4 linked regions of the Macaca mulatta genome follow. The protein of the gene in region 4 binds, or shares a complex with, the protein of the main gene of each other region. Links are inferred from orthologs where the notes say so. Each region holds a gene or a part of one and is shown on either strand. Other genes may lie near its edges. The genes, in order: USP4, CCNT1, USP15 and SART3.

Region 1 (7,628 bases), on a different chromosome or scaffold from region 4:
AGGCTGAGGCAGGAGAATCGCTTGATTCAGGGAGGCAGAGGTTGCAGTGAGCTCGGATTGCCCCACTGCACTCCAGCCTGGGGGACTGAGCGAGACTCTGTCTCAGAAAAAACAACAAAACGAAACAAAACAAAACAGAAGAGTTTCAAAGAACTTTCATAGAAGGGGACTTGTTAGGGTTGGCTCTGCAGATGTAGAATCATCATGTGGTGGTAACTCTTATCTACAGGGGATTAATTGCTATGTGGTTATTTGAGGCAGTTTTAATTCCACATTTACTTTCCCCTACTAATCTACCCAACTGCCAAGAGGCCTTTCTTATCAGATGGTGTGTGATGGATGTCCCAGGGAGTGTAAATTAATTTCAGTTGGCCAAACACAACATAAAAATAGTAAATCTGTTCAAATGACCTACCATATTTTCACTGGGCCAGTTCCCCTTCCTTCACCCCTGACACAAAACATAGCTCATCTTTTCAACAGGAATAGGGTAGAAAAATAAGAATAAAAAAATAAAATAGACATGGCTCATCTGTTTCTCCTCTTCTCCCTCACAGCCACCTCCATAGTGAGAGGGTCCTAATGGTTCTGTGTCTGAGAACCCTCAGTCATTTTGTCTCTGCTCCAAAACTTCCTACAATGCCTGCCTGCCTTTTAAGGCAGGATATATGGTCTGTCTGGCCTCCTTTCTAGCTTTAGATCCCCTTAGGTTGTAGTAGTGTTGTAGTGCCCGGCTCAACTGGCCTAATCCCCACTCTCTGAAACTGTCCTGCCTGTTCCAGAAATTCTCTTCTGGTCCCTTGAGTCTCCCCTCCTGTTACATGCATCCTCATCTTTATTCTGCCAGCATTTTTTTTCAATACCACACCCAAATGTTACTCAAGTCAAAGGTTTCCTATGAGAGCAGGGGTTGTGCCTGGTGTTCTACAGCCTTTGGTTCACACCCTTTTTTTTTTTTTTTTTTTTTTTTTTTGAGATGGAGTCTGGCTCTGTCGCCCAGGCTGGAGTGCAGTGGCCGGATCTCAGCTCACTGCAAGCTCCGCCTCCCGGGTTTACGCCATTCTCCTGCCTCAGCCTCCGGAGTAGCTGGGACTACAGGCGCCCGCCACCTCGCCCGGCTAGTTTTTTGTATTTTTTTAGTAGAGACGGGGTTTCACCGTGTTCGCCAGGATGGTCTCGATCTCCCGACCTCGTGATCCGCCCATCTCGGCCTCCCAAAGTGCTGGGATTACAGGCTTGAGCCACCGCGCCCGGCCTTTTTTGTTTTTTTCTTTTAGAGGGGGTCTCACTCTGTCGCTCAGGCTGGAGTACAGTGGTGCAATCTTGGCTCACTGCAACCTCCGCCTCCTGGGTTCAAGCAATTCTTCTGCCTCTGCCTCCCGAGTAGCTCAGACTATAGACATGCGCCACCACGCCTGGCTAACTTTTTTTTGTATTTTTGGTAGAGATGGGGTTTCACCATATTAGCCATGCTGGTCTCGAACTCCTAACCTCGTGATCTGCCCGCCATGGCCTCCCAAAGTCCTGGGATTACAAGCATGAACTGCCCTGCCGGGCGCCCAGCACTTTTTTTTTTTTGAGAGGACATTTCCGTCTCCACGTTGGTCAGGCTGGTCTCGAACTCCCGACCTCAGGTGATCTGCCTGCCTCGGCCTCCCAAAGTGCTAGGATAACAGGCGTGAGCCACCGCGCCTGGCCGGTTCACACCCCTTATTTGTATTTACTGTTTTTTTGAGACAGGGTCTCACTTTGCCGTCCAGTCTCGAGAGAAGTGGCACCATCTCGACTCACTGCAACTTCGACCTCCTGGGCTCAAGGGATCCTTCTACCTCAGCCTCCCGAGTACCTGGGACCACAGACGCGCGCCACCTCCCGGCTAATTTTTGTAGAGACAGGATTTCGCCATGTTGCGGAGGCTGGTCTCTAACTCCTGGGCTAAAGCTATCCTCCCGCCTCAGCCTTCCAAAGTGCTGGGACGACAGGCTTGAACCACTGCACCTGGCCTGGTTCACACCCTTTAATTGCACTTACCACATACTGCTAGGCATTGAGGTTATTTCTGAAACATCTCTACTCTTCCACTAGATTCTATGAGGGCAGGAACTAGGTCTTATTTTTCTCTGAGGACAAGAACTGTTAGACAAGTGTATGGAGACTCATCTAGACCTGACTTCCTCTTTCCTCTGGGTTTATTTCTCCCTCCAGGAAGAGGGTTGTGTGTTTGTGTGAGCGGGGCGACTGGAAAACACAGTGTTCAGGACGTTGTATCTTGTTCCAGGAACTAAGTACATGCCTGGGTAACTAATGTGGAATACCTCTCCTTCCCCTGTTGCTATCGCCCCTCTGTGGCTGCTTGGCAAGTAGCTCAGTATGAAGAGCTGACGGAATTCTCAGGTGGGCCAGGTGGCTCTGGCGTCCAGATTGTTTAAGGCGACTGTTAATAACTACAGCACACCGTTCAGTCTTAGTCCCAAGGCGCTGATGCACGTGGTACTTCCCGAAATCCCTGTTAGGGCCGCTGGAGCAGGAGCCCGGATCCCACGTTTGGGCAGCTGACTCGCCTAAGGCCTCCAGCTGAAAGCGGAATGGCAGGGGTGAGAATGAACAGACCTAACTACGGGGCTTCTCGCACCTGGCCTGCATTTATTTAGGACCAGGATAACCTCGAAGGCCGGGCTAGGGTGCCCCATGGGTCGTGGGCTTGCTGTCTGACTCCCTGAGATCGGCGGGCTGAACAGAGCTTCATCCTGTAGCGCCATCCTGAGCAGAGGAAGGGGCGCCCGACGACCGCGTAGCAGGCGGCAGGGCGGGACGAAGTAGCAGCTGCTGCTCCCCACCCACCCCTCTCGCATCTGCCTTTTCGCTCCACTGTTTGCCGGTGAGCGAAGTGGCGCGAGACTGGAGGGGATAAAAGACAGCGGCTGCAGGAGCCGAAGGCCGCGGCACGAGGTGGGGCAGGGGCGGGCACGCGAGCGTGCGTGCGTGCGTGCGTGGGCGCGGTCTATAGCACGCCGCGCGCGGGGCGGATGTCCGGGCCGGCTGGGCCGGGGCCGCGGACGAGATGGCGGAAGGTGGAGGCTTCGGTGAGCGACCGGATGCGGAGACTCAGAAGTCGGAGCTTGGAGCCTTAATGAGGACCACACTCCAACGCGGCGCGCAGTGGTGAGCATCCGGCTCTCTCTTCCTCTGTGCAGAACCAGGGGCCGAGTATCTGGCCCTTAGGCCAGCCCCCTTTTTCTCGGCTACAGTAGGGGCTGGGCGGGGATGGTATGTAGTGACCCTGGAAGAGTAGCCTGACACCTGCCCCTCGGGAGAACTCCAGGATCAGCTCTGGGAAAGCGCAGGCGGGGCCTGAGGGTCGCCTCGGCTCATTTGGAGCCCCAGTGGGTGGGCCCGGCGGGGGCTAGGGGGATGGATGTGGAGAAGGGGAATGTTGGCGGGGACCCTGAGGGTGGGGAGAGCCCTTTACCATGAGGACTCGCCGTGTGACCTTGGGCGAAGGTGTCACAGACCTGGATTCCTCACTGTTAAAACCAGGATAGCAATATTTGGCTCTCCGCCCTCAGTGGGTTGAGGCGAAAATCAGAAGTACTTTGTAACTTGTAAACTGCCAACAGATGTCAAGGTCAGAAGCTGAACAAATGTCTGAGAGCCCCAGATTATTTTGGTAGCAAGTGTCAAAAATATTTGTGACAGCAGTATCTCGGAGTGGGAGAGGGGGATAGCCTAGGTCCTGGAGCTAGATAGAAGATGAGGAGTCCAGAATTTAGAAGACCCAGGCTGAGTTATTGGACATCTTAACAGATTGTTTGGTGGAGGGGACAATACTTTGTACTACTGGAGAGATTCCTGGGTGGTATTATTGTGTAGTACAAAAACTAAGGCTAGACTTTGCATTTAGTATGATTGAGTGTTACCCATCTTGTTTTTTTGTTTGTTTGATTTTTTGAGACAGAGTTTCACTGTTATTGCCCAAGCTGGAGTGCAGTGGCGCCATCTCGGCTCACGGCAACTTCCGCCTCCCGGGTTCAAGCGATTCTCCTGCCTCAGCCTCCCGAGTAGCTGGGATTACAGGCTCACACCACCATGCCCAGCTAATTTTTTGTATTTTTAGTACAGACTGGGTTTCACCATGCTGAGCAGGCTGGTCTCGAACTCCTGACCTTGTGATCCAGCCGCCTCTGCCTCCCATTACAGGTGGGAGCCACCGTGCCCGGCCCGAGTGTTACCCATCTTTAAGAAACCATTGTGGGCCGGGCGCGGTGGCTCAAGCCTGTAATCCCAGCACTTTGGGAGGCCGAGACGGGCGGATCACGAGGTCAGGAGATCGAGACCATCCTGGCTAACATGGTGAAACCCCGTCTCTACTAAAAAAATACAAAAAACTAGCCGGGCGAGGTGGCGGGCGCCTGTAGTCCCAGCTACACAGGAGGCTGAGGCAGGAGAATGGCGTAAACCCGGGAGGCGGAGCTTGCAGTGAGCTGAGATCCCGCCACTGCGCTCCAGCCCCGGCGACAGAGCGAGACTCCGTCTCAAAAAAAAAAAAAAAAAAAAAGAAACCATTGTGGTGATGACCTACAGAGGAATTGAGCTGGAGGATAGAAAAATTGGGGTTATGAGGAGTACAGATAACAGCTTATGTATTCACCTTGAGCTAGCCAGTTTGTGAAAGTCAGAGTAAACAGGTACTTTTTTTGTGGGTTTTTTTTTTTTTTTTTTTTTTTTTTTTGAGGAATTTCGCTCTTGTTGCCCAGGCTGGCGTGCAATGGCGTGATCTCGGCTCACGGCAACCTGTGCCTCCAGGGTTCAAGTGATTCTCCTGCCTCAGCCTCCCCAGTAGCTAGGATTACAGGCATGCGCCACTATGCCCGGCTAATTTTTTTTTGTATTTTTAGTAGAGACAGGGTTTCTCCATTTTGGTCAGGCTTGTCTCAAACTCCCGACCTCAAGTGATTCACCCGCCTTGGCCTCCCAAAGTGCTGGGATTATAGGCTAGAGCTACCACGCCTGGCCTAGCAGAGGTACTTCTCAAGTTAACCTGTATAGGGCTCATAAAGAATACTCAGCAGAAGCAGAGGAAGTTTAAGACTAAAATCATACAGTAAAATTGTATGGAAGGTATTGCTCAAGGGATTTGGAAGAAAAATAGCATTTTCGAGACGGATGTGTTTATGGATCCTTGTGACCTCTGGGAAGTTGCCTGAACTCCTCTCACATTTGTTGGTTATACAGTTTTAAGGATGCACCAATATAATTGTTGATGCTTTGTTGCTCCACAGAGATTCTGTTTTAATTGTAAAACCCCAGAGTGATACTTTTTTTTTTTTTTTTTTTTGAGACGGAGTCTCGCTGTGTTGCCAGGCTGGAGGAGTACAGTGGCATGATCTCAGCTCACTGCAATCTCTGCCTTCCGGGTTCAAGCGATTCTCCTGCTTCAGCCTCCCTAGTAACTGAGATTATAGGCAGGCACCACCACGCCCGGCTAATTTTTGTGTTTTTATTTATTTATTTATTTATTTTTTTTTTTTTTTGAGACGGAGTCTTGCTCTGTAGCCCAGGCTGGAGTGCAGTGGCCGGATCTCAGCTCACTGCAAGCTCCGCCTCCCGGGTTCACGCCATTCTCCTGCCTCAGCCTCCCGAGTAGCTGGGACTACAGGCGCCCGCCACCTCGCCCGGCTAGCTTTTTGTATTTTTTAGTAGAGACGGGGTTTCACCGTGTTAGCCAGGATGGTCTCGATCTCCTGACCTTGTGATCCGCCCGTCTCAGCCTCCCAAAGTGCTGGGATTACAGGCTTGAGCCACCGCGCCCGGCTAATTTTTGTGTTTTTAGTAGAGACGGGGTTTCACCATGTTGGCCAGGATGGTCTTGATCTCCTGACCTCGTGATCCACCTGCCTCAGCCTCCCAAAGTGTTGGGATTACAGACATGAGCCACCTCTCCCAGCCAGCATAGTGATACTTTAAAAATATAAATAGGTCTGGCACAATGTCTCATGTCTGTAATCCCAGCACTTTGGGAGGCTGAAGCAGGAAGATCACTTGAGGCCAGGAGTTCAAGATCAGCCTGGGCAACATAGCAAGACCTAGCCTCTACAAAATAAAAATAAAAAAATAAATTAGCCAGGCATGGTGGTATGTACCTATAGTCATAGCTACTCAGAGGCTGAGGCAGGAGGATCACTTGAGCCCAGGAGTTTGAGGCTACAGAGAGCTATGATTGTGCCACTGCACTCTAGCCTGGGTGACCCTCTCTCTAAGGAAATAAATAGATAAATAAAATACCACATTTGCTTACATTTAAGTAAAAAAGTGGTAAGTTGAATATGAAGCACAACTTAATGCTTTTTGACAAGATGAACATACCTAAGTGCTATTATATGTACATGTGTATGTGTATATTTATATATGTACACGCATGTTATATACTTTTTTTTTTGAGACAGGTTTTTATTCCTGTCAGCCAGGCTAGAATGCAATGGCGTGATCTCAGCTCATTGCAACTTCTGTCCCCCCGGGTTCAAGTGATTCTTGTGCCTCAGCCTCCCGAGCAGCTGGGACTATAGGCATGTGCCACCACACTCAGCTAATTTTTGTATTTTTAGTAGATGGGGTTTGTTGCCCAGGCTGGTCTTGAACTCCTGAGCTCAAGTGACCATCCGCCTCAGCCTCCCAAAGTGTTGGGATTATAGGTGTGAGCCACTGTGCCTGGCCTTGTGTGTACATTTTTGGAACTCATTTGGTCCTTAAAAGAAAACAAGTGGATGGTGTTTCTAACCCATTTTCAGAAAGAGCATTAGTTTAGTGCTGTTCATGTCAAGTAAAACAGTGTAACCAAACTGTCTGCCTAGACTGGGACCTCTATAAAGATCATTATGAAATTAATGACTTGTGGTAGGGTGCGGTGGCTCACGCCTGTAATCCCAGCAATTTGGGAGGCTGAGGTGGGCAGATTACCTGAGGTCAGGAGTTTGAGACCATCCTGACCAACACGGAGAAACCCTGTCTCTACTAAAAATACAAAATTAGCCGGGCGTGGTGGCACACACCTGTAATCTCAGCTACGGGAGGCTGAGGCAGGAGAATCGCTTGGACCCAGGAAGTGGAGGTTGCGGAGAGCCGAGATCACACTGTTGCACTCCAGCGTGGGTGACAAGAGAGAAACTCTGTCTCAAAAAAAAAGGCCAGGCACTGTAATCCCAGCACTTTGGGAGGCCGAAGTGGGTGGATCACCTGAGGTCAGGAGTTCGAGACCAGGCTGCCCAATATGGTGAAACCCCATCTTTACTAAAAATACAAAAATTAGCTGGGCGTGGTGGTGGGCGCCTGTAATCCCAGTTAGTTGGGAGGCTGAGGCAGGAGAATCATTGGAACCCAGGAGGCAGAGGTTGCAGTGAGCCAAGATCATGCCACTGCACTCCAGCCTGGGCGACAGAACAAGACTCGGTCTCAAAAAAAAAAAGAAAGTATCGGTCTCAAAAAAAAAAAAAAGAAAGACTCCATTTAAATAAGCATTTTGAAGTCACTTGTTTTCTTTCTTTTATTCACTCTTTGAACAATCATTTCACTTAATGGATGCATACCCTGGGGCCAGACTCTCTGTGCCATGTGGGGCCTAGGCCCTGCTCCTG
Region 2 (7,600 bases), about 60 Mb from region 4:
TGTTTGGGAACCTCTGCCTAGATTTCAGAGGATGTATGGAAACACCTGGATGTCCAGGCAGAAGTTTGCTGCAGGTGCAGGGCACTCATGGAGAACCTCTGCTAGGGCAGTGTAGAAGGGAAATATGTAGGGTTGGAGCCCCCACACAGAATCCCTACAGGGCCACTGCCTCATGGAACTGTGAGAAGAGGGCCATGGTCCTCCAGACCCCAGCATGGTAGCTCCATTAACAGCTTGCACCATTTACCTGGAAAAGCCACAGACAGTCAATACCAGCCTGGAAAGGGAGATGGGAGGGAGGCTGTACCCTGCAAAGCCACAGGGGTGGAGATGCCCAAGACCATGAGAACCCACCTCTTGGATCAGTGTGACCTGGATGTGAGACATGGAGTCAAAGGAGATCATCTTGGAGCTTTAAGATTTGACTGCCCTGCTGGATTTTGGACTTGCATGGGGCCTGTAGCCCCTTCGTTTTGGCCAATTTCTCCCATTTGGAATGGCTGTATTTACCCAATGCCTGTACCGCCATTGTATCTAGGAAGTAACTAACTTGCTTTTGATTTTACAGGCTAATAGTAGAAGGGACTTGCTTGTCTCAGATGAGACTTTGGACTGTGGACTTCTGAGTTAATGCTGAAATGAGTTGAGGCTTTGGGGGACTGTGGAGAAGGCATGACTGTATTTTGAAATGTGAGGACATGAGATTTGTGAGGGGCCGGGGCAGAATGATATGGTTTGGCACTGTGTCGCTACCCAAATCTCATCTTGAATTGTAACTCCCACAATTTCCACATATGGTAGGAGGAACCCGGTGGGAGGTGATTGAATTATGGGGCAGGTCTTTCCTGCACTGTTATCACGATAGTGAATGAGTCTCCTGAGATCTGACGGTTTTTTAAAAAATGGGAATTTGCCTGCACAAGCTCTCTCTTTGCCTGCCGTCATCCAGGTAAGATGTGACTTGCTCCTTGCCTTTTGCCATGATTGTGAGGCTTCCCCAGCCACATGGAACTGTGAGATCTCCATTAAACTTCTTTCCTTTGTAAATTGCCCAGTCTCGGGTATGTCTTTATCAGCAGCATGAAAATGGACTAACACAGCTGTTTAAAAGAAAACATACATGACTACATAACTGAAAAAGTGCTTATTCTACTAAAAAATCTATTTTATAAGTGCTTATTCTGTTAATAGTAAAGAGTCTATGAGGGAAGAAGTTTGAAATCCTAAGTTATTTTCCCTTATAACCAGAAGTAAGTCATTTAAATCTTCCTGAACCTCAATTTCTCCAGGGTAAAATGGAGTTAGTACTAACTACAGGCAGTATATGGCAGAGGTGACCTGAAATGGAAACACTTCTGAAAATGAATGACAATCAAACATAGTAAGATCACCTATGCCTAGAAATGACAAAACCCAAAATATTATCAAAGCAAGACACAGGATTCTAATATTATCCAAATCTATCTAAAATTACCCAAATTTAATCAAGGTAAACTGAACGTGGTTCCAGAAAAGCAGGAAGTGAATGGGAATTGCGTGAATGGGAAGACCAACGGAATTAGATTTAAGATCTACACTTATTAGTGGTGTAGTGAGGGCAAACTCCCAGAGCCTCAGTTTCTGTGTTGTGGGTGTTTTGCACATTTATCTGACAAAGATTTAGGGACTATTTACTACGGCCAGGACTTTACTAGGTAGGTGCCATACAAAAATGAAGGCATTGCTCTTGCCTTCAATTTCAATACAATGTAACAAATATTATAACATTAAGGGCTACTGAATATTTCCTAAGTATTGGGTACTATTATAAATACTTTTTACTCATTAAATCTTTACTCCCTTTCACAATCTAAAACATAGGTATTATCAAAGAAAAGAGGCATAGAGAGGTTAACTATCTTGCCAGCACCAAACAGTTATCAGACGCTGGAGCTGGGATATATCCGGTTTTTTTTTTTTTGTTTTTTTTTTGAGAAGCAGTCTTGCACTGTCGCCTAGGCTGGAGTGCAGTTAGATTTAGGCTCACTGCAACCTTCGCCTCCCGGGTTCAAATCATTCTCCTGCCTCAGCCTCCCGAGTAGCTGGGATTACAGGCGTGCGCCACCACACTTGGCTAATTTTTGTATTTTCAGTAGAGACGAGGTTTCACCATGTTGGCCAGGCTGGTCTCCAACTCCGGACTTCAGGTGATCCGCCCGCCTTGGCCTCCCAAACTGCTGGGATTACAGGCGTGAGCCACCGCGCCGGCAAAGGAGCTGGGAAATATCTTGACAGAGGGCAGGAATTTGCTAATCTCTGCAAGTGAGGGGTAGTGGTGGAGGCTGTTCACACTCAAGGGGCAGTATTAGTTCACCCATTAGCAAACGTACTTAAAAATTACCTCTTGAGAGTTCCGCTGAATAAATGAAACAGTATATTTAAGTCAGTATTGTGCATGGGACATGTAAGCTCTTAATGTTATTAATTTCATTTTATTCCTTTAAGTTGGATCACTGCGGCGAAACGTGAGAATGTTTTCATGAGTTTGGCTACACATTAAAGCGACCTCTCCAAATGGGTTGTCGTATTTTACATTGCTACCAACAACGTAACAGCCTTCTAGTTGCTTTATGTTCCCATATACGAAAGAGCCCCACCATTTGATTCTGTTTTTCAGTTTCTGACAGCCTCACCTACTTTCTCTTTCAAGTTCATCTGCCCCATTTTTATTTTATTTATTTTTTAGACGGAGTCTCTCGCTTTGTCACCCAGGCTGGAGGCTGGGGTGCAGTGGCGCGATCTCGGCTCACTGCGACCTCCGTCTCCCGGGTTCAAGCGATTCTCCTGCCTCAGCTTCCCGAGTAGCTGGGACTACAGGCGCACGCCACCACGCCCGGCTAATTTTGTATTTTTAGTAGAGACCGGGGTTTCGCCATATTGACCAGGCTGGTCTCGAACTCCTGACCTCGTGATCCGCCTGCTTCGGGCTCCCAAAGTGCTGAGATTACCGACGTGAACCACCGCGCGCGGTCCATCTGCCCCATTTTATATCACCACTGCAGTCACAAACTAAGTTCTCCTAAGAACCACCAAGCGGCGCGTGGGCGGGCGCCTCATACCACTACAATTGCGACCTCACAACCTAACCCCGGGCGCCAACGCTCAATCCGGTTCTCGCGGGAAGATTCATGGTTTTTAAGCGAGAACTTCTAAGCCCACGCCACCTCCCAAGGGTCACGTGACGCGCCTGCGTCCTCGCCTCAAGGTTTTTTTCTCGTCGCATATTGGCTGTTAACTCGGCTACGGGGTGTCGCGAGGTGCATTCCGGAAGTAGGTCCTTTGACTTTTGCTTTCTTTACGGAAGAGAGTCACAACCCGGCGGTCGACGCTTAGCGGAAGTTCGTCAAGTCGCAGTTGCCCCCGCACAGCGGATGTGGGTCGCCTCTTAGGTGACGCTGGGAAGTGTTTGCAGCCTCCGCCGCTGCCTTCTGGTTGAAGCATTATGGAGGGAGACAGGAAGAACAACAACAAACGGTGGTATTTCACTCGAGAACAGCTGGAAAATAGCCCATCCCGTCGATTTGGTGTGGACCCAGATAAAGAACTTTCTTATCGCCAGCAGGCGGCCAATCTGCTCCAGGACATGGGGCAGCGTCTTAACGTGTATCCTTGCGGCCTAGGCCTTCGGCCTTTGAGTTGGTCCCGCCATGCTCTGGCGTCTAGGTCTCAGGCTCTGGTGGGGGACGAAAGTGGGGAAGAAGGTGGGCAGAAGCTGGATGTCTAGTTGGGAGAGCCCACGATGGGGCGGGCTGAAACTCAGTTCGCGCTAGGGAAGCGAGGCGGAGTTGATTTCCCGCTCGCTCACCCGTGCCACCAACCTTGCTGGGCATTCGTATCCTTCCCGGCTTCGTGTTTTAACCAGCCCTTCCAACTCTCTCTTCGTTGTGTTCTGATCGGCTCTGGTGACGTTAAGTTTCTCATTTTCCGCTGTGCCCTAGGGGTTTGGGTCTGGCAGAGGTTTCTCTGTTGAGGGCTGCTTCCGAAACCTAGTGTGTAAATTTCGAGAAATTCAGTACCTGAAAGTCTTATAAAGGGTGGTCTAGAATTAATGCCTCAGCCTTGGTCCAAAATCCATTCCTCATCTGCTAGCTGTTTAAGTGACCTGTCAAATTCTTGGTCGTCTTGTCTATAAAATGGGATGATACCTCTTGTGTTTGATTCTGTGTCCATCACAATGCTTTGCATTAAGATGCTCAATTAGTAGCTGCTGTTTTATAGAATTTCAGAGGAAAGATGTTAGTTTACGTTTGTAGGGGTTACCCACGAATCTAATGTTTTAAATCGTTTACAAAATACTGGGTCCTTAAGTTACTTAGAGTGGTGGTGTGTATTTCATTTTCTTTCTATTTCAAAAATGAGGTAACGGCCGGGTGCGGTGGCTCACACCTGTAATCTCTGCACTTCTGGGAGGCCGAGGCGGGTGGATCACCTGAGGTCAGGAGTTCGAGACCAGCCTGGCCAACATAATTAAACCCCTGTCTACTAAAAATACAAAAAATTACCCCGGCTTAGTGGCGGGCAGCTGTAATCCCAGCTAGTCAGGAGGCTGAGGCAGGAGAATCGCTTGAACCCGGGAGGTGGAGGTTGCAGTGAGCCGAGATCGCGCCACTACACTCCAGCTTGGGCAACAATAGTGAAACTCCGTCTCAGAAAAAAAAATTTTAAAAAAAATGAGGTATCCTCTCCCACATATTTTTGTTTGTCAGGAAATACACTTATTTTGTGGTGGAGAAAACTTGTATAGTTTTAAAGTTCTTTCCACTCTGTGTGTGAAAATTTTCTTGGGTGCAGCTTCTATTTAAATGTGTGGCTGACAGTAATGTTTGTATCTTAAGGGTGTGTGCATCTCAAAATGGGTGTCTTTTTTATCGCCAGTTTGTTTCCTGCTGATGTCCAGATGTGTTTCCTAAGCATCCTATCAGTACGGAGTAAATCTTTTTGTTCGAAATTCTATTTCAGTGTATCCTTAAAACGCTTTCCTTTTTGTATGTGTGTTGTCATTAAGGTTGTCAGCCAGGCGCGGTGGATCGCACCTGTAATACCAGCACTTTGGGAGGCCCAGGCGGGTCGATCACTTGAGGCCAGGAGTTCAAGACCAGCCTGGCCAAAATGGTGAAACCCCGTCCCTACTAAAAATACAAAAATTAGCCATGTTTGGTGGCGAGTGCCTATAATCTCAGCTACTGGGGAAGCTAAGGCAGGAGAATCGCTCGAATTTGGGAGGCAGAGGTTTCAGTGAGCCAAGATGGTACCAGTGCACTCCAGCCTGGGCGACAGAGCGAGACTCTGCCCCCTCAAAAAAAGGCTGTTGTAATTTGGGACTGCATCATCTCTCTACCCCATATTGTCTGCTGAAGTTTTTAGAAGTAAGGCATTTACAAGTTTTTTGTTCCTCTTCAGTTAATGAATTATCAGATCATTTCAGATGTTTCCTGTCCCGTGGATCACCACATGAGAAGGCTTGGTTGCCAGAGAGAAGTGGAACTGAAAATAATTTAGGCCGGGTGTGGTGGCTCATGCCTGTAATCCCAGCACTTTGGGAGACTGAGGCGGGTGGATCACTTGAGGTCAGGAGTTCGACACCAGCCTGGCCAACAAGGTGAAACCCCATCTCTACTAAAAATACAAAAATTAGCCAGGCGTGGTGGCCCAGCCGGTAGTCCCAGCTACTTGGGAGGCTGAGGCAGGAGAATTGCTTGATCCCAGGAGGTGAAGGTTTCAGCGAGCTGAGGTTGTGCCACTGCACTCAGCCTGGGTGACAGAACGAGACTCTGTCTGAAAAAAAAAAAAAGAAAGTAATTTAGTTGATGGAGTTTAGCAGGTGAGAGAGGTAGTGGAGACATACCTATGGGCCAGATCAGGGTGGGCGCTGTAAATCATATTAGATTATAGATATCTGCCACCATGCCTGGCTAATTTTTGTGTTTTTAGTCAAGGAGGGGTTTCGCCATGTTGCCCAAACTGGTCTCAAACTCCTGACCTCAGGTGATCCACCTGCCTCTGCCTCTACCCAAAGTCCTGGGATTACAGGTGTGAACCACCGTGCCCAGCCAGGCCTTATAAATTGGTTTTTTTTTTTTTTTTGGAGATGGAGTTTTGTTCTTGTTGCCCAGGCTGGAGTGCAATGGCGTGATCTTGGCTCTCCGCAACCTCCGCCTCCCATTTCAAGCGATTCTCCTGCCTCAACCTCCCGAGTAGCTGGGATTACAGGCATGCCCCACCACGCCCAGCTAATTTTCTATTTTTAGTAGAGATGGGGTTTCTCTGTGTTGGTCAGGCTGGTCTCGAACTCCTGACCTCAGGTGATCTGCACCCCCTTCGGCTTCCCAAAGTGTTGAGATTACAGGAGTGAGCCACCGCACCCGGCCGCCTTATATAGTTTTTTTAAAACTCTGTCTAGATCCATGCATCTTGATATGTTTGTTTATTCATTCAGTACATTTATATTAAATATTTGTTATGTGTAAGCCATTGTAATAAGTGTCAGTTGGTGATTAGTAATTTGGTGAAAGAAAACAGACATATTCTTTGATTTGGAGAGATAAGTATGATTTTCATTTAGTAGCATCTACTTGCTTGGCCATTTCATCCTTTTGGGAGGGAGATAGAGGTTATCTTTTCCAGAATTATACCTGCCTGTTTTTGGATCTTAACTTGAACTCTTCAGCTCGCAATTGACTATCAACACTGCTATAGTATACATGCATCGATTCTACATGATTCAGTCCTTCACACAGTTTCCTGGAAATGTAAGTATAATTTTTTTTTTTTTTTTTATGGTGTAATCCTTTTGTGATTGATTCCAACTACCTATTCCATTTGTGGTTGGTCTTTGCTACTGAACTGTGACTTGAACTTTAGAATTTAGGGTTGATCAGTTTCATTATGCGCTGTGTTGCTGTTCTGAATCCAGCTTTTCATTTTTCCTGTTAAGTGTCTGCTTGTCTAGTGGATTTATAGTACATCCATGTCAATTCTCTAAAGTAGATTAGGCCGGGTGCAGTGGCTCACAACTGTAATCCCACACTTTGAGAGACGGAGATGGGAGGATCACTTGAGCCCAGGAGTTCAAAACCAGCCTGGGCAACATAATGAGACCTAATTTCTACAAAATATCAAAACAAAAACAAAAACCAAGTAGCTGGGTGTGGTGGTATGCATCTGTGGTCTCAGCTACTCCAGAGGCTGGCAAGAGGATTGCTTGAACTCAGGGAGTTGAGGATGCAGTGAGCCAAGATCGAGTCACTGCACTCCAGCCTGGGCATCAGAGTGAGACCCTGTCCCCAAAAAAACCCCCAAAAACAGATTATCAGACATCTAAAGTCAACATTTTGAGATTGGAGGAGTAACATTAAAGGGGAAATCATGTGTAATTTACGTATAGCTTTATTTTTCTTGCTGGGGCAGGGAGACAGGCAGGGTCTTGCCCTGTTGTCCATGGTGGAGTGCAGTGGTTTGATTATAGTTCATTGCAGCCTTAACCTTCTGGTCTCAAGCAGTCCTCCTGCCTTAGCCTCCCAAGTGACTGGGACCACAGGCCTGCCACGATCCCTGGCAATTA
Region 3 (7,632 bases), about 46 Mb from region 4:
AAAGGTTTAGAGAGGTGAGTAAGAATGAGGGAGTGGTAGGGTCGTGGGCGGGAATAACTGTAGAGGAAGGACAAGGAGAAGGAAAAACTGAAATAGTGGTTCCTGAATGTCAAAGACAGGAAGAATTGAGAAACAAAGACAGCCAGGTCATCAAACATTGTTCTTTTATGGGATGTGCTGATTGTGTGTGTGTGTGTGTGTGTGTGTGTGTGTGTGTGTGTGTGAGATTTGCTAAGTCCACTCAAATTTTAGGCAGATTTTTCCCTTTGGCTCATGTAGCCAGTCCCATACAAAATTATGAAATAGGCAAAACTTATCTTGGAAATCTCCTTTGTACATTCCTCCATTAAACTGTATTACAAAATGCAGTGCTTTTTTCTCTGGTTCACCCCAAGCTGAAAACTGGCTCTCTTTGACACTTCAGTTTTAAGCCTGACTCTCTCCTGGAGTATTTACATTTGAAGTCCCATCTCTTAATTGTTGAGTAAAAGAACCTCTCTTAAAGGAATTGTTTAAACATCAGGAAGCAGAGAGGTTTGGAATTACTAAAGGATAAAGGAATCCTTCCTAGAGAATCTCTAATTTCACAACCAACTGTGACTTTAAGAGGTCCAGCCTGTTCATATCTAGTCTAATTTCTAAAGTACTCAGCATACTCAACTCTCTAGGTTAAGTTTTAAATTGACAAGAAAGGTACACAGAGTCTGAGAAGGCAATAACAATCACCGAGCAAACTGTACATTCATCAGATGTTAAGGAATGCATCAGTGAAGACATTCATTCTAAATAAGCAGATATAATCCCTGATTTATATTCAATTATTTGTGATTAAGGTGAAGTAGCTTTTCTCATCAATTTATCTATTTAATTATTCAGTAGGGATGTGGACTTTAACCAATTTATGAACAATATCTTATTTCTCTTCATAATTGAGAGAAGCACCAGTAAAATAAGCAGAATTTCCATAAATTGATCAACTGAGATCTCTAAAATGTTGATTGCTATAAACAAAATAATAAAGGTCAATAGAAAAATAGAAGTTTACCCAAACTTTCCAGATTCTGCAGCCAGACTGCCTGGTTTCAATTTAGGTTCTGCCACTTACTTGCCTCAATTCCTTATCTCTAGACTTGAAATAATAATAGTACCTATATCATGTGACTGCTGTGAGAATTAAGTTAGTACTTTAAAGTGTTTAGAACCATGCTAGGCACTCTGTAAGTGCTTGCTAAATAAAATACTATAATTTTATCTCTTTCCTGACTCTGATGGCAGTCAGTTAGGTCTACAAAATGGCTCCATAAATCTGATGTATAATTCAAATGGTCATTAAATGTACACATCTATATCCAGTTAACTTACTGCCTTGAGCATGGTGCAAGTGAAGAAAATATTATTTTACTTCACTGTAAGGTTGTAGGTGTCAACACTTCAAAAATGCATTTTCTCTTAAGGGAAACTGGACATTAGGGTATGAATGATTTATTGCTACTTGGTTATGTTATAAAATGAAGGAGAGCACAGTTTTGCCTTCAAAACCCCTAACACTTCTTTTCAATAGCTTTTTTGAGGTATAGTTTACATACTGTAAAATTCACCCTGTCATCAATAAACAATACTAGTGTTCATTGAATGGCTATTACATTCCAAGCAATAAACACAAATTGTTTCATTTAATCTTCATAAAAATCCCTTAAGGTAGGTATTATTATACTCAATTTTATGATTAAAGGGTAAGAACTTTGCAGCTAAAGGTTGAAGTGAGGTTTGAATTTATGTCCATGTGGCTCTAATATATGTTTTCCATATTCTGCAGCTTCCCTTCAGAAAATTACTTTGTTCTCTTTCAGAGAGTGACTGGAAAAAGGGGGGAAATGTGACTTTTAGAGGGTAGCCGTGGTTAGAGAAACTCTCAGTCTTTTAACCTGTCAGGAGAAAAGCCAGAAATAACAGTCACTGAAAGTTGTTTTAAAACTCTCAATTCAAGCTTGGCATGATAATGCAAAATATTATTATGATGCAGAAATAAGCAATCATAATCATAATACTGATATACACAAATCATAATGCGAATGTACACTACTTTCACTTGGAAGGATTCATCACTTTCTACTAGCGTAACTACACCTTCTTCATTGCATTCTCACCAAATGAGTTAGGGTTTAAAATGGGGAAACAAGAGAAATGATGCAGGGATTCTGGCCCATCTTTTAGACTTTTCACATCAAATGGTATGTTAAAATCAAACCCCTGGACATCATGCTCGGGAATACTTAAGTAATTTTGCCACAATTCATTTATTAAACAAATATTTAGGTGATTTTTACATGTCCAGTAGTACTATGCTAACCACCAGGTATACAGAGGTTAAAACAAAAGATGAACCCAGTTCCAGCTCTTAAGGAGTTTACATTTTAGTCCAGGCTTTCATAAGGAGAGGCAATGAGTGTGCTGTACTGTATAGCACGTGGGCTCTTGAACCAGCCTCTCCACTTACCTCTCCACCTGCTGTGTGACCTTGGCATTTGCTTTTTAAGCGACTCGATTTTCTATTTTGTAACATAATCGTTGACTTCAAATGAAAGACATACCTAGTTTCATTTCAGGTGTACGGCACCACAGGAAGATGGGGCTAAGAAAATGTTACTCTCTTGTATAAAGAAGAGGGTTTCTCTCACGTTTTCTTCCTTTAGTATCTGGCATTATTCAATAATGTCCATATTCTACTCGATGTTCACCGATGAACTGGGACATGTTTTTCACCGCAGCTTAGTCGTCTGGGTGTGCCTGGGGAGGCGTCACAAAGAGCCTATAAAGGGTCCCCACCTACAATGGGAGTAAGAGCGCTGGAAGGAACCCCGGAAGGGCATGGAGACCAAGCGTTCGGTTTCGGAATGTTTTTTGTGTGTGCCCGTATTCACCGAGCTTGGGTTCTGCTACTTTTAACGAAAAGCCCAGTCGCGGAGCTGCTAAATTTTCTGCCATATCTTAGCCGTCCCCACGCCCCCCCGCCCCACCCTACCTCACCCCCAGGCGTGAGTGAATGCGCAAATAAGGGTTTTCAAGGCGTCAGTGGGAAAGAGGGAGGGGAAGGCAACGCCGAGGATGGGAGGACAGGGCGGTGGCATCCTTCTAGCGAGAGAGCGCCGGAGCCCTCGGCGGCGAGGAGAGCTAAAACCTGGCTGTCCCGAGCCAGAGGAGGCCGAGGCAAGATGCTGAACGGGCGGGGACCGATGGGGGGCAGCAGACCATGGCCGCGCACCTAGTCCGCCCCCGGGGCCTCCTCTTGTCCCGAGGACCACCCCCGCTCCCGGTGTCTTTTGGTTTCGACCGGCCGACTGGGAGGGGCCGTGGGGACGCCATTCCCATAATGCTCTGGGGCGTGCCGCCGCCGTCGCTGCCACCTCCCCTACCGCTAGTGGAAGAAGATGGCGGAAGGCGGAGCGGCGGATCTGGACACCCAGCGGTCTGACATCGCGACGCTGCTCAAAACCTCGCTCCGGAAAGGGGACACCTGGTAAGAGAAAGGGGTTGAGATGCCTGCGGTTGCCCGAGGATAGTGGAGAAGAGGGCGGGAGCCGCGAGCTGGTGTCTTTCGCTGGTGACAGGTGCGGGCAGGTCTGGCGGCGGCCGCCGGGGTAGCAGGATTTTGGCTGCTTCTGAAATGTTAGGGCAAAGGTTGGACTCTAGATGAGGGTCAGGGTTCGTGGCTTGCCAGGGCATGCTGAAAGGTGTCCGGAGAGCGGCGGCGGCGGCGGCACTGACTCGTGCGGTTCTCTTCTTCCTCCTTCCTTCCGTAGTGCCGCTCCCACCTCAGGCCTTCTCGAATGATAGGTTATAGTGGTTTGGTTTGAGTCTCATATACGCTGTTTTGACAGGTCCCGGTGCCGCGGCTTATCATGATCTCACCGGCTTTACTTCTCTGTTCATTTCCTTTCCTAGAATTGTCGGCGTCCAAGTTCCCTTTTATTCTGATTCTTGTAGTCTTCCGGGAGGCAGGCTGCAGGATGTTTGCGGTCTGTACTACACAGGTGGCATGTCAGTGCCCCACATAAGAGAAAGAAACCCTAGTTTCCAGTTCCTTGTCAAAGGAGGGAGAGGAGTAGGGAACCTTAGGCTTATGAGAGACCACGTGGTCTTGTGCTTTAGTGGTGGCTTGATAAAAGCCGGCAGCGTTTCTGTTAGATGTGCAGCCCTTCCCTTCTGTTTGAAGAATAACGTAGGCCTGCAAAAAGTTGATAAGTCCACTTGAGGCTTAACTAACTGCTAATATTCGAACTTGTAAAATACCAAAGGATATATATTTATAATACTGAAGGATGTATGTGGACATTTTCACACTTGTCGGCCATATCCAGTGGCATCTAGAATAACTTAAATATGTGAATATGTAACATAATTTAAAATTCCTTATTTTTGGGGAAGGATAATGTGCCTCTTCATTATAATAAAAAATATTTTCACTTCCCACTGTTACCATAACAGTAGTATATAATTTATAGAGTGTTTCACTATGGCATAGTGGAAGGAGCAGTAAGATTTAGACCTGAGTTATGTCACAGTTTCACCACTCAACTTGCAGTATGACTTTGAGGAGAGTTAATTTAAATCATTGCACCTCAGTCTCTTCTGTAAAATGGACAGTATTTTATTATAAAGGTTTTATCTTGATTCGTTTTAATATCTTAAGAATTTTATGTTTATGAGATACTAAATTTTAGTTACCTTCTGCTCTTTACTCTTGACAAAAGGCTGTGATACTGGGATCATTTTCAGTTAAGCTAATAGGTGGCAGATTTAGGACCATAATTTAACCTTGATCTAAGTCTTAGTCTCTTTTTTCTTTTTTGGTAGGCTGTATACTATGTGTATACGATAGAAATCCCTAAGGATGTAAATATATACTTGTTTCATTGTATCAAAAAAATAGAATCTTCAAGTGACTTAATAATAGTTATTTTTGACCTGGCAGGGTGGCTCACGCCTGTAATCCCAGGACTTTGGGAGGCCGAGGAGGGAGGATCACTTGAACTCAGAAGTTCGAGACCAGCCTGGGCACCACGGCAAAACCCCGTCTCTACAAAAATACAAAAAATTAGCTGGGCATGGTGGCACGCCTGTGGTCCCAGCTACTCAGGAGGCTGAGGTGGGAGGATTGCCTGAGCCTAGGAAGCAGAGGTTGCAGTGAGCTGAGATCCGGCCACTGCACTCCAACCTGGGCAACGTGAGACTCCATCTCAAAAAAAAAAGAAAGTTACTGTTTTTATTATAATGTTAGTAAGATGTTTATTACTGTGGGGAAATTGGACATTTCCTAGGACACCCATGTTTACCTTGGCTTGTGGTATGACAAATAAGTCCCTGCTCACTATTGTAAGTTAAAGAACATTTAAAAATTCTTAATTCACCCAACCTATTACCACCTTATTTTAAAAAGTGAATTTCCTTAAAATAGAAATCTATTAAGTCTATAAGTTAAAATATAAGTATTATTGTCTCATTAATGTCACGTTTTTGTATATGGAGTAATTGGTGTTGACACTACAGGATGATAGGAGCAATATGTGCATTGTGGGCGTTTAACTTTATAAAGTTTGGTATTTTCAAATGAGTATATTTTTGCTTTTTGACAAAATTAATGTAAATTGTTTTATATATGTGCGTGTGTGTGTAGAGCTCCATAGGTACAAACTGTGTTTCACTATATTGCCCATGCTGATCTTGAACTCCTAGCTGCAAGTGATTCACCTTAGCCTCCCAAAATGCTAGTATTACAAGTATAAAGCACGACTGAATACAAGAGGCTCATAAATTTGAGTCATTTCAGTGCTTTTATTTTAAATAAAAGTAAACTGAGGACCACATATTTAGATAAAAGCAGATTGTGCAAGTTTATCCTCACGTTAACTTTCTCTTAAAGGAAAAAACCTGAGAGAGAAAGAAGGTACTGGGAGTTGCAGAAACCAGTTTGATTTATTTGTAAGCCAGTTTATTTGCAAATTAGCAAGTGAAACCTGTTCAAAAACAAAGTAGTATAGAACAAAAAATTGATTCAGAGTTTTAGAGAGAATAATTTGATAAGTATGAATTTGATGATGAACTTACAAGTACAGAACTGGTCAGGATATGTATTAATTTAGTTTATGTTTTTGGAACTCACTAGAAAGTTGTTTTTCCTTTTAATACCTTTTTTTAATCTTTGAATCAGGTTCTTTGAAATTTACCATATGGAGTATTGTCGTGGCATATAGTATGTAACTGTCTAGGAAAGACTGGGCTATTGAGAAAAAGTGGTGGGCTTACCATAAGTTTATTCTTGAAAGTTTAATACAGATGTCTGAAGTTATAGTCAAATGCATCGCAGTGAATAAATTTCACTTATTAGCTCTTGAGTACTTTGCAGATAATGACTGTCTCATGGTGACTTGGGTAACTAACGTCCATACCTAGGCAAGTATAAAGATTTACTTGATTCTGTGTAAGTACTGCAGTTTCTCTTTATTTGTAAGCAGTAAGTGATTTTTATCAAAAATCTGATTTTCTAGAGATGAAAATAAGTTACACAAGTGTGAGATGAAGAGAAACATACTTTATGATGTATTTGGTTCTAGACTTTATATTGAGAAGTAAATCAAAATTAATACAAGAGAGTAATACCTTTTTTTTTTTGTTTTTGTTTTTTTTTGAGACGGAGTCTCGCTCTGTCGCCCAGGCTGGAGTGCAGTGGCGTGATCTCGGCTCACTGCAAGCTCCGCCTCCTGGGTTTACGCCATTCTCCTGCCTCAGCCTCCTGAGTAGCTGGGACTACAGGCGCCCGCCACCGCGCCCGGCTAATTTTTTGTATTTTTAGTAGAGACGGGGTTTCACCGTGGTCTCGATCTCCTGACCTTGTGATCTGCCCGCCTCGGCCTCCCAAAGTGCTGGGATTACAGGCGTGAGCCACCGCGCCCGGCCAGTAATACCTTTTTAAAAACCATGAAGGTAGCACTGATTTGTATAAGGAGTAAAGCAGTCTGAAAATGATATTTGTTGATCTGTATTTCAATTCCAACAAGAGATCAGAAAACCATGAACAAGGTTTAGAGTTTAGGAACTATCGGAAAGAGATAAATGAACTAGAATTGTATAGCTTAGGATGAATTTAAAACAATTTTCAGATACGTGGTAGTTTCTTCTGATGAGACAAAAAGATAATTTGCTTAAGGTACATATGACTATTTTAGGAACATATTTAAAGTATGGTAGTTAATGAGTTACAAAGAAAATTTGTAGCTCATTTGGGTTATAAAATTCTCTCTTTGGAAAAAAATGCTTTTGAGACACTCTCACTGTGTTGCCCAGGCTAGAGTGCGGTGTGTGGTCTCAGCTCACTGCAACCACCTCCAGGGTTCAAGTGATCCTCCCACCTCAGCCTCCTGAGTAACTGGGCCTACAGGCACAGGCCACCACGCCTGGCTAAGTTTTGTATTTTTAGTAGAGACAGGGTTTCCCCATGTTACCCAGGCTGGTCTCGAACTCCTGGCCTCAAGTGATCTGCCCACGTTGGCCTCCCAAAGTGCTGGGATTACAGGTGTGAACTACCTGTAAAATTTCCAGTCTGGAAATTTTTTAACAAATAGGCCTATTATGAGT
Region 4 (6,850 bases):
GGACATACTTAAATTCTACTTAATTTGATGAATTTGAAATTGTAGTTTTAATTTGTATTTCCCTGGTTACTAATGAAGTTGAGCATCTTTTCACGTGGATTGGCCATTCAAGTTTTTGTGCGTGTTAAAGTCTTCAGGCTGGGCACAGTGGCTTATGCCTATAATCCCAGCACTTTGGGAGGCGAAGGCGGGAGGATTGCTGGAGCCCAGGAATTTGAGATCAGCCTGGGCAACGTAGCATGACCCTGTCTCTACAGAAGAAAAAAAAAATTAGTTGGGCTTGGTGGCACGTGTCTGTGTATCTGTAGTCCCAGCTACTCCAGAGGTGAAGCCCAGGAGGTCAAGGCTGCAGTGAGCTGTAATCATGCCACTGCATTCTTGCCTGAGTGACAAAGCAAAACCCTGTTTCTTTAAAAAAATGTGTTTGGGCCGGGCGCAGTGGCTCACGCCTGTAATCCTAGGACTTTGGGAGCCCGAGGCAGGTGAATCACGAGGTCAGGAGTTTGAGACCAGCCTGGCCAACATAGTGAAACCCCGTCTCTACTAAAAATACAAAAAATTAGCTGGGCATGGTGGCTGGTGCCTGTAATCCCAGCTATTTGGGAGGCTGAGGCAGGGGAATCGCTTGAAGCTGGGAGGTGGATGTTGCTGTGAGCCGAGATCACACCACTGCACTCTAGCCTGAGCAACAGTGCGAGCCTCTGTCTCAAAAAAAAAAAAAAAGTCTTTGACCCATTTCCCTTTTGATGTATCTTTTTTCTAATTGATTTGTGGGAATGCTGAGTCTTAAGTCTTATTTTAGGCTGTATGTGTTGCAGATTTTCTCCCCAGTTTGTTGTTTGTCTTTTCACCTCCCCACCCCACCCACCACCCACGGAGTTTTCGCTTTTTCACCCAGGCTGGAGTAAAGTGGCGTGATCTCGGCTCACTGCAACTCCCCCGCCCCCCACGCCCTGTTTCAAGCGATTCTCCTGCCTCAGCCTCCTTAGTAGCTGGGATTATAGGCCCTCGTCACCACGCCCGGCTAATTTTTGTGTTTTTAGTAGAGATGGGGTTTCGCCATGTTGGCCAGGCTGGTCTCATACTCCTGACCTCAGGTGATCCACCTGCCTCGGCCTCCCAAAGTGCTGGGATTATAGGCGGGAGCCACCGTGACGGCCTTTTCATTTTTTTTTTTTTAATGGTGTTTTTTGATGAACAGTTCTTAGTGATAAATCCAATTAGATTAAAATTCTTTACCTTTTGGTTGTGCTTTTGTTGTGCTTATTTGAAAAATATTCCCTAGTTAACTCTAATTTCTTATAACAATTTTATAGTTTTCTGTTTCATATTTAGGGCCTCATCCACCTGGAATTGATTTTTAAGTGGTATGAGACTGGGTCTGGTTTCATTTTTCCATATGGAGAACCAGTTGTTCTGGTACTGAGTTTGATTATTCCTTCCTCCCCTCACTGATGTGCAGTGCCACATCTGTCATAGATTAGCTGTCCATGTATGTGTGGGTCTTTCTCCTGGATTTTCTATTCTGTCCCACTGGCTTACGTTACACTGTTGTAATGATGAGAGTTATAATGTTTTGCTCTTGGATAGGGTGAGTCCCATCCACCTTGTTCCTCTTCAAGAGTATCTTGGCTTTTTTTTTTTAGCCTTCAATGCTTCCATCAGATTTAGAATCAGCTTTTGTAGTTATATTTTTAAAATCTTTTTTTTTTTTTTTTAATTGGAATAGCATTGAACCTGGAGATCAGTTTGGGGAATTTGGGAAGAATTTACATGTTCCAATCTATGAACATAGTATAGGTTTCTGCTACTTACATCTTGTCTTTCTGTAAAGCTTTATAATAATATTATAAATTTGTCCAGTGTCTTCAACACGTGACCTTTAGAGTCCCCTGCGAGGGCGATTTGCTGGTAACAGATTTTCTCTGTTCAGAAAGGTCTTTACTTCCCTTCTTGAAAATTATTTTCTTAGGCTATAGAATTCTAGACCAACAACAACAACAAAAGAGTTCTGGACAGACAGTGTGTTCTCAGCAATTGATTGTATCTTTCTGTCTTCTGATGTCTGTTGTTGCTGTTCAGAAGTCAGCGGTTTGTATAAATCTTGCTTCTTCAGAGGTAGTTACTGTTTTTTCTCTGACTGCTTTTAAGATCTCATTGATTTGGTTTACTGTCCTCTAATTTCATTGCAGTAGGTCCATGTGTGGACTGGCTTGAGGTTTTTTGGGCTTTTTGACTGTTTTTTCTATCTTTCTTTGCCAACAATAGAATTGTGAAGATCAAATTCTTAATGTATGTCAAGCCAGCAAAAGGTTAACATTTACTTAGCTTGCCACCCTCATTTAGATTTTGTCCTTAGTCCTTAGAATTTCTTGTTTCTTTGCCAGTTTGTTGATGAATTTTAAGAAGATACTATATTTAATTTAGTAGTTTTAGTTGTTTTGAATGGTACAGTGTGTCTGGGTAACTAATTCTTTCTCGTTACTAGAAATGGAGGCTGTGAAACATCCCCTTTCTGAGTACGGAGCCTGCGTGTTTTCTTACTCTTCTGCACTACTCCTTCCTTTCTTTTTCATGTGTAAATGATTTGCATGTACCTGTTCTTCTCAAAACTCCAATCATTCCATTATGTCATGGCCATCAGCAAAATATGCCTGAAGAGAAAACATGTCGAATAAGATTTTTTTCTAAAAAGAATTTGATCGTATGTCTTTGGATCATTAAACATTCAGCACAGCTGCCTCCATTTTCTGCATTTACCTACATTCTTCCAGGAACTGATATTTGGAATAAGAAACTTGAATAGCATCAGGCACCACAATTTTCCAGTTTGGTTGTATTAACTCGACTCAGTAGCCCAAGAACATGACTTCTGGTTTGGAAGGGTGGTTAACAGTGGTCACTGGCAAAGGTGTTGTGTTGCTCTTTCACTCAGTTCACGATTGATGGGCCACTTAAATTCCCTGTGGTCTAGGAATGGATTTAGAAAAGGGTTTATGGAGCCTTTGTTATGACTGCCATGAACTGGCACTTTGGACCAGATGAGAAGACTCTTGTTCTGCTCAAGAAGTTGTGGAGGCCATAGTGGAGTGGTTCTGAGAGTGAGGATTTGGCGATTCTTAGTTACTGTAGCCAGTTTTGCCAAAATTTATTTTATTTGCAGATGTGTTGTGCTTCCTGCCAGTAACTCAATTCAACTTTAATACAATTTTCCTGTACTCTAGTTGCAGGCAGAGGCACCAAGGCTGTCAGAATATCAAGCATATATCGATTTTGAGATGAAAATTGGCGATCCTGCTCGCATTCAGTTGATCTTTGAGCGCGCCCTGGTCGAGAACTGCCTTGTCCCAGACTTATGGATCCGTTACAGTCAGTACCTAGTAAGATCACTGTTCTAATTTCATTTTATTTTTGCCAATTTATAATCTACTTAGAGTGCCAGGAGTTTGTTGCATATGGCCCTGCTCTTGCTTTTCCTCCATCCACTTTTTCTCCTCTTTGCCAACTTGTTTAGGAAGTTTTAGTGTTTCAGGTTATTTTAAAATGGTCACTAACTGTAAGTAAAATTAGCATATAGTCTGTGTTGAGGACTTAAAACAAATTGATATTTTTCTTTTAACTTTGTATTATGGAAAAAATGTAAACATATAAAAGTAGATAAGTAAAATGAAACTTCCTGTACCCCCCACCCAGCTTCAATAATTATTAACAATTATAGCTTTAGTTTACTTTGATCTGTAGTCTCACCTACTTGCCCCTTATGTGTTACTTTGAAGCAAATCCAGAAATGATATTTCATTGGTAAATATTTCAATATGTGTATATAAAATATTTCAGTGTATATGTATAAAAGGATCCAAATGAGGTCTATCCAGTAGGGTTGGCTGACGTCTCTTAAGGCTCTTTTAACCTATAAGTTGCTTCTGTCCTTTTCCTCCACTCCCCCTAGTGAATTTTTTTTTTTTTTTTTTTTTTTTTTTTTTTTTTTGAGGAAACCCGGTCCCAAGAGACGTTTATAAGGATATTTCTTTCATCACTTGGTTGTGCTGGCAATGTCTTGTTGATGGTGAATTCTTAATAAAGTTTAATTTCCTGATTCTGGAATTCTTTATCATAGGATCGGCAACTGAAAGTAAAGGATTTGGTTTTATCTGTACATAACCGCGCTGTTAGAAACTGCCCCTGGACAGTTGCCTTATGGAGTCGGTACCTCTTGGCCATGGAGAGACATGGAGTTGATCATCAAGTAATTTCTGGTGCGGATGTTTTTGTGGGAGAACTTCTAAGCTATTTGTCCCAAGTGAGAAACAGAGAGCGGTGACAAAGTCATTACATCAGTGTTGCCTGGGGTTTTGTTTGGGATATGGAGTGTAGTGACAAAAAGGGCTCTGAGAGATGAACTGGTTATATTTGTGGCTTCTTTGAGCTTTTTAACATGCTAATATTCATTGCATTTTCTAAGAAGTTGTAGTCTTTTCTCTCTCTTCAACATTCCTGTCTAGCTCATTTCATCCTGTTGCATCTGTTAGTCTTTAAAGTCATGTAGTGTTTTTTTTTTTTTTTTTTTTTTTTTTTTTTTGAGACGGAGTCTCGCTGTGTCGCCCAGGCTGGAGTGCAGTGGCCGGATCTCAGCTCACTGCAAGCTCTGCCTCCCGGGTTTTTACGCCATTCTCCTGCCTCAGCCTCCCAAGTAGCCGGGACTACAGGCGCCCGCCACCTCGCCCGGCTAGTTTTTTGTATTTTTTAGTAGAGACGGGGTTTCACCGTGTTAGCCAGGATGGTCTCGAACTCCTGACCTCATGATCCGCCCGTCTCGGCCTCCCAAAGTGCTGGGATTACAGGCTTGAGCCACCGCGCCCGGCCCATGTAGTGTTTTATAGTCAGTAGAATGCAGTAACTTTATATTAGCTTCCATTTGAATTGGTAACAAATCCTGACTTTTTCTCCAACTCCAGTAACCTTCGAGAAAGCTTTGAATGCTGGCTTCATCCAGGCCACTGATTATGTGGAGATTTGGCAGGCATACCTTGATTACCTGAGGAGAAGGGTTGATTTCAAACAAGGTATTTAAGCGCATGTTTTTCACTTCAGAGCTGAACATGTTCTTAACACAACTTTTGGCGAGATGTCCCAGTTCCCCAGATAACATTGTGATTGGGCAAATGATGTAGACTAGGCATTGGTGACTTTTTCCCCCAGAAATCCTAGTGATTTCTATCTTAACAAGTCATGCTGTGGATTGTAAAGCAAGAGAGTAATGGTTTATACTGGCTCTGCCAGCCTCTTTAGTCTTAGCTCTCATTTCTCTTTTCTGGTCTTTTTATTTATCCTAAATACTTCTTGAAATAAGACTGCTGTGTTTTAGAAAAATGTTTGTACCTCTGTGGGATCCTCTGCCCCTTCATGTCCCCCCCCAAAACAGCCAGAAAACCCCTAACTTGTACTTGCACACTCATGTCAGCTGTCACCTCATACAGGTAGCCTTTAGCCATTCTTCTGTTTGCCTGTGTCACCCCAGCTGGGGGAGACTCCCCCCACACAGCACTCTGTGTTCACCTTTTTCACCATGCTGTCCATACTCTACTGTGTTCTAATTTCTTTCTCCCTGACTATGTGATGAGGGCAGGAATTGGCAATTTTATTTCTGTGTCCCTTGCATGATGCCAGGTACATAATGGGTCTCTGGGCAGTTTCAGCATAGGATAAAAAACAAAACAAACAAAGCCAGGCTATGTGGTTTCCTAAAGCCTTTTTTTGTACTTTCCACTAGACTCCAGTAAAGAGCTGGAGGAGTTGAGGGCCGCCTTTACTCGTGCCTTGGAGTATCTGAAGCAGGAGGTGGAAGAGCGTAAGTATGCCCCAGCCTGTGGTTTTGCCCAGTTGTATTTCCTGGTCTGTACTATTTCCTGGTTGATGTACCTTTCCAGCTAGAGGCTATTTGTCTCCAAGTTCCTTTCTAATTTTACTAATTCTGTGTTTGAAGGTTTCAATGAAAGTGGTGATCCAAGCTGTGTGATTATGCAGAACTGGGCTAGGATTGAGGTAAATGTTTTTGACAAATCTACCACTTTCACCCACCATTGTTGAATAGCATCCTATTAAACCTTAATTAAAATTGAGTCAGAATCCCAAATAATGGGCTAAGCTCTATAAGGATTTGTGTTATTTACCTAAGTAATGGTCTAGGCTCTACAAGGATTCATGTTATTTACCTAGCTTGACACATATTTGTAAATAATGTTGGTGAAAATACTAGCTCCCAGCTACAAGTTGTGCAGTAAATGTTTAAATGCTAGGTATTCACTCGTTTACTTCCGTCTCTGCCTCTTTGCTTCATTTGTGAGAGCACAGTGAGCGTGTACTATTTGTTAGCACTGTACTAGGTGCTGTGGGAATAAGAATTCCTGAGCTAGTAAGGCTTCTATATAATGTAGAAGACAGATTATTTGGCAAGTAATTAGAGGATATGATCATTTGAATGTCATTACTGGGTCAGGGGCTCCAAGGTCAGTAAGACACGGAACCTGCCTTGATCAGCAGGTAGGATTGTAATAATTCTAATCATGTTTTCTCCTCTGAGGGAGCGTCAGATAGAAGAAACTAACATTTGTCAGGTAGTTTCTATATGGGATACTTATTTCTTAACCATTTTAAAGATGAGAAAACTGAGAATTACAGGTTGCCCAAGTCACAGTTTGTAAGCATTAGTAGCAGAGTGTGCATTTAATACTAGAGCAGCCTTTTTTTAAAAAAAAATATTGTCTCTCAAACACTTGTAGTTAAGCTTGATAAAAATAAAAAACAAATGACTATCCAGTACTGTCGCGTAAGTACCGCGTGCTGTCTCTCT

Evidence for each region.
Region 1: the proteins of SART3 (region 4) and USP4 are in contact, whole or in part, in a crystal structure (PDB 5CTR), measured with the Homo sapiens proteins. The link is inferred for Macaca mulatta from reciprocal best matches to the Homo sapiens genes SART3 and USP4. Residues at the interface, in NP_055521.1 of Homo sapiens: Asp437, Ser438, Ser439, Lys440, Gln490, Arg493, Glu494, Trp496, Asp497, Met500, Thr501, Ala505, Trp511, Tyr514, Lys529, Arg533, Cys537; in NP_003354.2 of Homo sapiens: Met24, Thr27, Leu28, Ser53, Trp54, Glu123, Gly125, Leu126, Phe127, Val128, Lys129, His130, Cys131, Lys132.
Region 2: SART3 (region 4) and CCNT1 share a complex: the UniProt entries of both Homo sapiens proteins name them as parts of the 7SK snRNP complex. The link is inferred for Macaca mulatta from reciprocal best matches to the Homo sapiens genes SART3 and CCNT1.
Region 3: the proteins of SART3 (region 4) and USP15 are in contact, whole or in part, in a crystal structure (PDB 5JJW), measured with the Homo sapiens proteins. The link is inferred for Macaca mulatta from reciprocal best matches to the Homo sapiens genes SART3 and USP15. Residues at the interface, in NP_055521.1 of Homo sapiens: Ser438, Ser439, Lys440, Glu443, Gln490, Arg493, Glu494, Trp496, Asp497, Met500, Thr501, Ala505, Trp511, Tyr514, Arg533, Cys537; in NP_001239007.1 of Homo sapiens: Ser23, Leu24, Asp48, Trp50, Gly121, Met122, Phe123, Val124, Lys125, His126, Lys128.

What each region holds. Positions count from the first base shown.
Region 1 is NC_133407.1:112,775,976-112,783,603, reverse strand, and holds the start of USP4 (ubiquitin carboxyl-terminal hydrolase 4), read left to right. Parts: upstream 1-3,032; 5' UTR 3,033-3,061; coding exon 3,062-3,162; intron 3,163-7,628.
Region 2 is NC_133416.1:55,879,122-55,886,721, reverse strand, and holds the start of CCNT1 (cyclin-T1), read left to right. Parts: upstream 1-3,419; 5' UTR 3,420-3,481; coding exon 3,482-3,642; exon of another isoform or gene 3,643-3,871; intron 3,872-6,706; coding exon 6,707-6,788; intron 6,789-7,600. UniProt on the Homo sapiens protein: Regulatory subunit of the cyclin-dependent kinase pair (CDK9/cyclin-T1) complex, also called positive transcription elongation factor B (P-TEFb), which facilitates the transition from abortive to productive elongation by phosphorylating the CTD (C-terminal domain) of the large subunit of RNA polymerase II (RNA Pol II).
Region 3 is NC_133416.1:69,547,043-69,554,674, forward strand, and holds the start of USP15 (ubiquitin carboxyl-terminal hydrolase 15), read left to right. Parts: upstream 1-3,427; 5' UTR 3,428-3,428; coding exon 3,429-3,517; intron 3,518-7,632. UniProt on the Homo sapiens protein: Hydrolase that removes conjugated ubiquitin from target proteins and regulates various pathways such as the TGF-beta receptor signaling, NF-kappa-B and RNF41/NRDP1-PRKN pathways.
Region 4 is NC_133416.1:115,666,864-115,673,713, reverse strand, and holds part of SART3 (spliceosome associated factor 3, U4/U6 recycling protein), read left to right. Parts: intron 1-3,224; coding exon 3,225-3,380; intron 3,381-4,117; coding exon 4,118-4,256; intron 4,257-4,955; coding exon 4,956-5,063; intron 5,064-5,770; coding exon 5,771-5,848; intron 5,849-5,983; coding exon 5,984-6,042; intron 6,043-6,850. UniProt on the Homo sapiens protein: U6 snRNP-binding protein that functions as a recycling factor of the splicing machinery. Promotes the initial reassembly of U4 and U6 snRNPs following their ejection from the spliceosome during its maturation.